Sus scrofa: one gene and its partners. The protein of the gene in region 3 interacts with the protein of the main gene of each other region in a pairwise test. Links are inferred from orthologs where the notes say so. Each region holds a gene or a part of one and is shown on either strand. Other genes may lie near its edges.

Region 1 (2,916 bases), on a different chromosome or scaffold from region 3:
GACCCTAAAAAGAAAAAAAGATCTGGTGGAGTTCCTGTTTTGGCTCAGTGAGTTAAGAACCCAACCAGTATCCATGAGGACGCAGATTCAATCCATAGGGCTTGCTCAGTGGGTTAAGCATCTGGGTGTTGCCATGAGCTGCAGGCATAGGTCACAGATGAGGCTCGGATTGGGCATTGCTTGTGGCTGTGGGTAGGCTGGCAGCTGCAGCTCCAATTCGCCCCCTAGACGGAGAGCTTCATATGCTGCAGGTGTGGCCCTAAAAAGAAAAAAGATCTGGTATCCTGGCTCAGAAGGTTTACCTCCTGTGGCTTGTAGATGTTGCCTCTGACTTGGGACAGGTGATACCTGCCAGTCTTCTCCAGGCATGTGGTGTCCCCTGTCTGCAGCTAAGTCCACAAACTCAACCCCTCCATTTTGCCTAAAATCTGAGGGCCCAGTCTCCTTCTAGGAGCTCCCCCAGAGGGAAAGGAGAGCCCAGAGAAGTCTACTAGAGTGACTCTGAGGGAGAACCGCGAGGCAGCAGGGGTGGCGATGTTCTTAGGCGGCCCATCCTCGAAGATGAGCATGAGAACAGACCATCGACCCACGTGCGGGGTCTGGACGGGGCCCCGGGTCACCCAGCCAGCCAGAAGCTTCCACCGCCCAGGGAGCCCAGGCCTCAGCCAGCAGAGGGAAGGCTCGGGACTCACGGGTCAGGTACTTGAAGGCAGGGTGGGCCCCTGTGCCTGTGACTGCGATCTTGCTGAACATGGGGAAAGAGACACTGTAGGTGCGACGGGCGAAGCTCTCGATCTCCTTGTTGCTGTCGGGCTCCTGCTGACCAAACTGGTTGCAGGGGAAGGCGAGCACGTTGAAGTGGTGGGGCCCCAGGTCCCTCTGCAGCTGCTGCAGGGCGCGGTAGTGCTGGTCTGTGAAGCCACACTCGCTAGCCACATTCACCACAAGGGACACCTGGGTGACAGAGACAAAACCCAGACACATACACAACCCCGGGAAGAGGCATGCCCTTGTACGTGTCCTGACAAGCCCACATGTGTGACTCCCCACAACAGTTAAGAACGCAATGGACACACATGCAAACGTGTGTACAATGCTCTCACATCCACACGAACACATGCGCACAGGCACAAATGAAGTCAGGTGTGCAGGGGCTTATGAGACTCATGAGAATAAGCACATGATACACATCAGGGGTTATGCCTCTGCCCCATGATTCAGAGACACATTAGCACACATCACACATGCCCACAAACACAGAACACAAGCACAGAGAGAGGCACACATACTGATGCGCTCACATCAGGAGGTGACACAAGAGAGGGAAACGGCAGGCCTGGGTTCAAGTGCTGGCTCAGTCAACTAGCACTTGTCATTCGACACCCAAGTTGCCTATATGCGTGTGGCTTTCCCTTCTGGGATGAGCGCAGGAGCTGTGTCCACTTCACTGCTAGGTCTGACATATGGAAAAGTCTTAGACAGTCATGTGCCGAATGAGTGAGTGAGTGTCCACGAGTATGTGATCACCTGACTGGGTACATAGACAGACATGGGGTTTTGTTGTTGTTGTTTGTCTTTTTAGGGCCACACCCGGGGCACATGGAAGTTCCCGGGCTAGGCATTAAATGGGAACTGGCCTACACCACAGCCACAGCAACACCAGATCTGAGCCGAGTCTGCAACCTACACCACAACTCAGAGCAACGCTGGATCCTTCACCCACTGAGCAAGGCCAGGGATCGAACCTGCGTCCTCATGGATACCAGTCGTGTTCATTACTGCTGGGCCATGACAGGAGCTCCTATTCTTGTTAATACTGGATGTTTTTGTGTGTGTGCATGTGTTCATTACAACTTCCTCAGGATACTAGCTGGGTTCGTTACTGCTGAGCCACAGCAGGAACTCCCTGACGTGGTTTTCTTTTCTTGTTTTTTGGGGGTTTTTCTTTTTTGGCCATGCCCACAGCAATGGGAAGCTCCCAAACCCAAGCCACAGACCAAACCACAGCAGTGACAACACCGAGTCCTTAAGCACTAGGCCACCAGGGAACTCCCAGAAATGGTTTTCTTGATAAAGGGATCCCAAGAACCTCAGGGCAATCCTTTTTTTTTTTTTTGTCTTTTTTTGCTATTTCTTTGGGCCGCTCCCGCGGCATATGGAGGTTCCCAGGCTAGGGGTCGAATTGGAGCTGTAGCCACTGGCCTATGCTAGAGCCACAGCAACGCAGGATCCGAGCCGCGTCTGCAAACTACACCACAGCTCACAGCAACGCTGGATCGTTAACCCACTGAGCAAGGGCAGGGACCGAACCCGCAACCTCATGGTTCCTAGTCGGATTCGTTAACCACTGCGCCACGACGGGAACTCCAGGGCAATCCTTTTTTGCCCTTCACTCTCCAGGAAACAATACCATTCTCTTCTACCACTAGACTCACTCTTAAATTATTATTGCTTTATAATGAATGTATTTATTGCCTTTAGGTGATAAATATAAAGCTGGCTGATGGAACTCTATTATATTACTGCAATTACAGTTTTGGCACCAATGCTATGATTAGAGCTTCTAGTTACATATTATTAAAGGATTTAAAATCTTACCTGTGTCTGGGCAGCCCAGCCGTATCTCGCTGGCCACTTTTTTAGAAGAGGCGGGATTATACTGGCTGGCTCCATAAAGAGGGCCACCTCCAAGGGGCAGCCTGGGGCACTGGACATGCACAGCCACCAACTTCTCAACCTCAGCGCTATTGGCATTTGGGGCTGAGCAATTCTTTGTTGTGAGGTGGCTATCCCGTTCATTGTAGAATATTCAGCAGCATCCCTGGCCTCTACCCACTAGATGCCTAGTCTTAACAATCAAAAATGTCTCAGGGGATATTTTGTCAGGTGGCCCCTGGGGAGAAAGATCACAGCTAG
Region 2 (2,849 bases), on a different chromosome or scaffold from region 3:
TAAAATAAGTTCCTCTTAGAAAGAAATACCATTTTGACAGTATTTCCACAATTCACATGGCGAGGAGAGAAATTAAGACACCGGCTCTCAATGAAGACAAAAGAGTAAATCGACCCAATGGGTAGGGAGCAGTCCAGTTCATAGACACTGGCGTGATTACTTCCTTCTCCTTTGTATTAGGAAAGTAGAATTTTCTTTTTTCAAATGAGTGCCTTTTACTAAAAATAACTAAAAGATGGAAATCTGAGTTCACCAGGGAAGCTACAGCTAGAAGTCAAGCATTTATACAGCCTGTCACTAAAATGAACAAAAACAGTCGTGGTATGTGATGACAAAATGGTCTAGCGACCCTCGAAAAATATAACTGTAGAGAAAAATGGCAAACTAAAGCAATTATTCACAATCTCTACACATATTCTCATTTATGTTGATTTTGCCTACTTTCAGTGGAAAAAAATATCTTTGGCTGGCAAGGTAGAAGCATCATGTGTTCACCTGGAATACGGGCATCAGATTAGGGCTGTCCTGGGTGAAAACCGGCAGGTCTTTTCTAAAAGAACTACAGCAAGGCGAATATTCCCTTTAGCATCTTCCGATCCCAGAGGAGGTTTAGAAATTTTTCAGGCTGCAAGTCAAGGGAATTAAGGGCTATGGTGTTTGAAGGTCTATGTCCACATCAAGGAGTCGGAACCTCTCCAGCGTGTCCGAGACGGCACGACTAAATTGCAGGAAGGCTGAGTCTCTGCTGGGGTGTCAGCTCCGGGTGCCACACATCCACGATGAAAATCAGCCGGAAAGACTTGGCGTCCTGCCACACCTCGTGCTCAAAGGAGTCGTCGAAGATGAGCACCTTGCCTTCTTCCCAGGTCCTGGCACAGAAAAGCATGGGAGCTTATGATTCAGATGCCTGAGGTCTGACCCACATCTAAGTTCAAGCAGGCATTCTCAAGATAACCTTTGCCATATGGCCAGGTAAGTGGAACAGCAAGCAAGGATGTGTACTTTCCTAGGTGATTAGGAAAGAATTTTAGGGAGTTCCCATTACGGCTTAGCGAGTAAAGAAGACGATTTAGACTAGCACCCAAGAGGATGCGGGTTCGATCCCTGACTTCACTCCATGGGTTAAGGATCTGGTATTGCTGTAGAGGACAGCTGCAGCTCGGATTTGACCCCTAGCCTGGGTACCTCCATATGCCACAGGTGCATATGGAAGAGAGAAAGAGAGAAAGAAAGGAAGGAAGAAAAAAAGAAAGAAAAAGAAAAAGAAGGAAGGAAAGAGAGAGAGAGAGAGAAAGAAAGAAAGAAAGAAAGAAAGAAAGAAAGAAAGAAAGAAAGAAAGAAAGAAAGAAAGAAAGAAAGAAAGGAAGGAAGGAAGGAAGGAAGGAAGGAAGGAATTATTTCAGGATCCCTACCATGAATATCGATTTTTAGTACTTAACTCTGAAGGAGTACAAAGAACAGGGGGCTGATGCAGGGGAAACATTTTTGGTACAAACCCAGGCAAGGTTTGTTTAGCTGGGCAAGCACCCAATGGCTCATTCCCAAGGTGCCCTCCCAGAAAATGACTCCATGGTGTCCTCAGTGGCATTTCAGAGACTGGTGTAGCCCTACCCACAACAACTGAGTCTCAGACATCTCTCTGTCCTGTAGGATGCCTGGCATGGTGTGTGTGCATCTCCAAATGATTCTCTTTTCAACTTGTTCCATTTGTTAAAGTTTCATTTATGGAAGGGAAGATTGTTTATATTTCTAATGTTATCTGCTATGAAAAGGGTTATCCATCGAACATTTCTTTCTTTCTTTTTACAGCCGCACCTGCAGTTTATGGAAGTTCCTGAGCTAGGGGTCAAATCAGAGCTGCAGCTGCCGGCCTACGTCATAGCCACTGCAACGCCAGATCCAGATCCGGCCTGCATCTGTGACCCATGCGGCAGCTTATGGCAACACTGGATCCTTAATCCACTAAGTGAGGCCAGGGTTCGAACCCGCATCCTCGCGGATACTATGTCAGGTTCTTAACCTGCTGAGCCACAACTCCTCCATGGAATATTTTAAATGAATACTGTGAAACATCTTTTAAGGCTTACAGTATTACTTCATAAGATATCTAAATATGGTATTAGTCTAAATAAAGCAGTCAAGAGAGAAATATAGAAGAGGCAACCATACATTCAGTGCCTTTCAAACCCTAAAAAAGTTGATTAATTATGCTAATATTCTCTTCTTTTTCAAATAGGTATTAACTGCCAATATATTAAATGCTAGGCTATGCTTTTAAAATAAAAGTTTTACTAGGAAATTTTCTCTAGATGTTAACATTTTCTCAAATATTTAAAATTTTACTTCCTGGATTAGCTAACAATTAAAACTATAGGAGGAAAAATGCTAGCTTGATATCATTTTGTTGCATGATCATAAGGAAGTGTTCCTTAGGGAAATGATTTGTCTTTTTATGTTCATTACTGGGTGATTAATCAATATTAAATTAAGTAATATTACATATTGCAGCATTTTTCAACTGACGTTTTTGCCAGATAATTCTCTGTTGTGGGGGCCGTGCAGTGTTTTGTGAGGCGTCTAGCAGCATCTCTGGACCCCACCCACTGGGTGCTAGTAGCGCTCTGCTACCTGTTGTGACGATCAAAAATGTCCCCAGTCATTGCCAAATGTCCTGGGCAGTGAGCTAGGAGACAGTTTCATCCCAGACATGTAAATGACTGACAATAAAATGTGCAAATTATTTATAGTAACTAGTAGAGTAACAAACAGATGCAAGTTCAAAGTTCCTTGGAGTTGGGAACCAATCCTCTTACTTCTGGTCCCCGTTCCCTCCCTCCCCCACGCACCTC
Region 3 (4,103 bases):
GTCCTCATGGTTACTAGTTAGATTTGTTTCTGCTGAGCCACGATGGGAGCTCCCCATTTTTTTTTTTTTTAAATGGCCTCACCTGTGGCATATGGAAATTCTTAGGTCAGGGACGGAATCTGAGCAGCAGCAGTGAACTAAGTTATAGCTACGGCAATGCCAGATCTTTAACCCACTACACTGAGCCGGGGTTGAACCTACACCTTCCCATCAAACCAAGCTGATACAGTCAGATTCTTTTTTTTTTTTTTTTTTTTTGCTTTTTAGGGCTGCACCCATGGCATATGGAGGATATGCCTTATGTACCCTAGTTGGGTTCGTTAACTGTTAACCGCTGAGCCATGAAGGGAATTCCCTGCAGTTAGATTCTTTTTTATGTGTGTGCTTTTTAGGGCCACACTTGCAACATATGGAAGTTCCCAGACTAGGGATCAAATCGGAGCTACAGCTGCCAGCCTACACCACAGCCACAGCAACACAGGATCAAAGTCACTTCTGTGACCTACACCACAGCTCATGGCAATGCCGGATCCTTAACCCACTAAGCGAGGCCAGGGATTAAACCTGCACCCTCATGGATCCTAGTTGGGTTTGCTAACCGCTGAGCTGTGAAGATAACTCCCCACAGTCAGATTCTTTTTTTTTTTTGGTGCTTTTTAGGGCCGTACTTACAGCATATGGAAGTTTCCAGGCTAGGGGTCGAATCAGAGCTGCAGTTGCTGGCCTATATCACAGCCACAGCAACACCAGATCTTTAACCCATTGAATGAGGCCACATTCTCCTGGATACTAGTCGGGTTCATAACTTGCTGAGACACAATGGGTATTCTGTTTCCATTCTTTTTTTTTTTTTTTTTTTTGTCTTTTTGTCTTTTTAGGGCCACACCCGCAGCATATTGCGGTTCCCAGGCTAGGGGTCTAATCAGAGCTACAGCTGCTGGCCTATGCCAGAGCCACAGCAATGCCAGATCTGAGCCACATCTGTGACCTACATCACAGTTCACAGCAACACCAAATCCTTAACCCACTGAGCGAGGCCAGGGATCAAACTTACATCTTCATGGATACTAGTTGGATTCTTAATCTGCAATGGGAACTCCCTACAAGGAACTTTTTGAAAAACTAATTTGGCATTGACATTACTCTGCTTAAAACAAAGAGCTTCCCATTAAACTTGGAATCAAAGCTGACCTGTTTCCAGGGGCCTACAAGGTCCATGTAGCCCTCACTGATGTCTCTCTCCTGACTCCTTACTCATTAAGCTCCAGTCACTCTGGTCTCCCTTTGCACCAGAAGCATTCCTCAGTCATTCCCCTATGGGTATGTTGAGGGGGTGAAAGTGGAGAGACAGAGGATGGAGAATGGGTGGACATGGTAACTGCTGATGGATGTTGTTCACAAGGGAAAAGCCTGAAGGTGCCTTTGCCAGAGTTGGGACAGAGCGTTAGGACTGAATCCTGGTACACTTACCATGGCGAAGAGGTTGTCATAGCCTTTGACCTTGGTAGGCACCTTGGAGAACTTCTGGTCAAATGCATCAGAGATGTTGTGGGCTGGGTCTGTAGAGATGATCAGAACACTCTCCCGCCCTTTGGAGAGCTGGACTGCTAGGCTGCAGCTGGGCAAGGGAAAGGCCAAAAGGTATGGATTGAAGAATCAGCCTCTGCTTTCCCTAGGTCTGCAAGAGGACATGAAGGGGCCCAGGAGCAGGGGACCTGGATCAGCAAGGACCTTGAGAGGAGAGTATGGATAACTGTGGGAGCAAGCCTCAATCCTTGTAGAGGGACCTTCTCAGACATCTCTCACAGACCCCTCTAGCTGGTTAGAGTAGCAAGGTTCTAATGAATGTCGGTCTGGCCTGATGCTTACTTCTTTACTAGCAAAGTGGCATGTCCAGCTGTCTAGCCAGTATAGCTCGACTCTCTGCCCCTTTCGACAACGCTAAGCTAAGGGATCCTTCGCGTCTTCGGCTAAACTCTATGGTTCAACTCACTTTTCCCAGGTACTCTATCCGAGGGACCCCTCTCCCTCCTCCCAGATGACTGGGATAGCCTGATCATATGCCCTCTCCCAGCCTTCCACCTCCACTCCCACGTTGGCATATAATGGCAAGGTTCACCAGACTAGTGGGTTCACCTGGTGCCCCTCGCCCTACCCTGAGGTCAATCTGGTACAGTCCAGCTGACTGAGACATCTAAGTGCGCTCCGGGCCCCCAGTGCGCTGGATCAAATGTGGTTCAGCCCTTGAACTCCAGCAGATTGTACGATTCAGAAGATGCGGACCTACATTCAGGAGGTATCTTCCACTTACTCCACGTAATTTCCGGAGAGTACAACCCTGAAGACCCCGGGCCAGCCTTCTAGCCATGTTGGTTGTGGAAGACCGGCCCATAGCCTCCCCTTTAACCGGTGGTACATCCCACCCGTTTTCTCGGCCCCCGCCGCAGCCTCCTTACCTGCAGGTGGTCTTGCCAACGCCACCCTTGCCCCCAACGAAGATCCACTTAAGGCTACGCTGCTCGATGATGTTGCTAAGCGTGGGCTCCAGCGGCTCCACATCAGGGGCATCCTCGAACTCCTCTGCCTCAACCCCCCACCCGGCCACCCCTGCCGCCATCTTGGACCCGGCTCACGTGATCAAGCGGAGCGAACTATGCAAAGCACCTACAGGGGAAATTTCCTATCATATCCCGTCACGGCTAGAAGCGTGAATTAATTTTCTCATGATCTGACTTTTAGGTGATAATAGAAGCTATATTTCCATATTATCCCCTTCCAAGGTTCACCTTGTCAACCTCTTGTCTATATTTTTTCAAAGACTCCCCCTGCCTAATTAACATATTGGTACCTTCCAGGTCACTCCCCTTCACTGATTGGGCCCTACGTCTTGCCACACTCCTTCCATTGGCTTCATCTTTTCTTATTTTCACCAATCACTCTCACGTCCCTGTAGCGGCCGACCTCCCCTTAGCAACCAGCCAAACACACGGTCCATGCCCTTTCCAAGAAGTTTGATCCGAGGTCCATTCCTACCTGACTCCATAGGCTCAACTTCATGTCGATCATTTCCCCCTATTTTCCAAATCTGGTCCCAACACCGCCTCAGGTCTGTCTCTTCTGTTACCTAACTGGCAACTGGCTGGGAGCCATTGAGCTCCTGACGCGAACCAATCATAGACGAACCGATTAGCTATCTTGAGATAGGTCCTCGGGGTGCCAGTGGTTAGAGGCAGAACAACTCCAGTTATGGGCGAAAGCCACAGATCCTTGTCCATTGAGCCCTGAGCCCCACGCAGGGCAGGGCCAACATTTGCAACCTCGCTCTTTGTCGTAGAAGGGGTCTGTTCTCGAAAACCTCCTTCCACTTTGCTCCCTATTCGAGGGGAGTCTGCAGTTCAGCCAATTATCTTTTTGAACCTCTGCCCCAGGAATACATGCTCGGTTCCAGGCCGTTGGAGGACACTCTACCTTAGATAGGGACTGCAGTCTAGAAATATCCGCGGCTTCACCTAAGTACTCTAGCGCATACAATAATACCCTGACTTTCAGATGAGGACCCCAGTTCCTTCGAGCAAGCGGTGTCTCTATTCCCAAATGAAAGCTCCATTTCAGAAGACAGGTACCCAACCCAGAGACGCCTCCATTTCTATTCTGGGGGCCCAGACTAGATGTACCCCCGAGATCTAGTTAGGGACCCAGGTTCCGAAGATTCAGCTGAACACACAGCCTCAGATGAAGTCCTTCCCCACGTTGAGATTTTCTCTGGTGCCAGAAAAGCGAATATGCCCCCAAGTCCCAGGCGGGAACCTCACTCCGAGAGCCAGCTATCGCCGTAGGCTTAGACGATAGCCTTATTTCGGGGGAGACCATGTCTGCGTAACGCTCGCGGAAGTTTAGTTGGGTTACTATAATCCGCTAGGCAGGGCGATGTATCTGTCTGCTGGTGCGCGGCTTCAAGCTTTACTCCTCTTTCGCCCCGCCCCGCGTGCCCCGCCCCCACTGCGGACGCTAGAGGACTAGACGGGTCTTCCCAGCATGCATTGCTCGGGACGAGGCAAGTCGGGCGCCAAGCGCGGGGTCGGAGCGGCCTTCCCGGAGTCCTT

What was found. The genes of interacting proteins can lie anywhere in the genome.
Region 1: the proteins of ASNA1 (region 3) and GPX7 interact in binary tests that used the Homo sapiens proteins (3 or more experiments, as listed by UniProt). The two-hybrid records come from large-scale screens. The link is inferred for Sus scrofa from reciprocal best matches to the Homo sapiens genes GET3 and GPX7.
Region 2: the proteins of ASNA1 (region 3) and ASPH interact in binary tests that used the Homo sapiens proteins (3 or more experiments, as listed by UniProt). The two-hybrid records come from large-scale screens. The link is inferred for Sus scrofa from reciprocal best matches to the Homo sapiens genes GET3 and ASPH.

The regions. Positions count from the first base shown.
Region 1 is NC_010448.4:159,592,854-159,595,769, forward strand, and holds part of GPX7 (glutathione peroxidase 7), read right to left. Parts: intron 955-2,916; coding exon 693-954; intron 1-692. UniProt on the Homo sapiens protein: It protects esophageal epithelia from hydrogen peroxide-induced oxidative stress. It suppresses acidic bile acid-induced reactive oxygen species (ROS) and protects against oxidative DNA damage and double-strand breaks.
Region 2 is NC_010446.5:72,101,890-72,104,738, reverse strand, and holds part of ASPH (aspartyl/asparaginyl beta-hydroxylase), read right to left. Parts: intron 870-2,849; coding exon 719-869; 3' UTR 1-718.
Region 3 is NC_010444.4:66,258,329-66,262,431, forward strand, and holds the start of ASNA1 (ATPase ASNA1), read right to left. Parts: upstream 2,808-4,103; 5' UTR 2,618-2,807; coding exon 2,457-2,617; intron 1,619-2,456; coding exon 1,471-1,618; intron 1-1,470.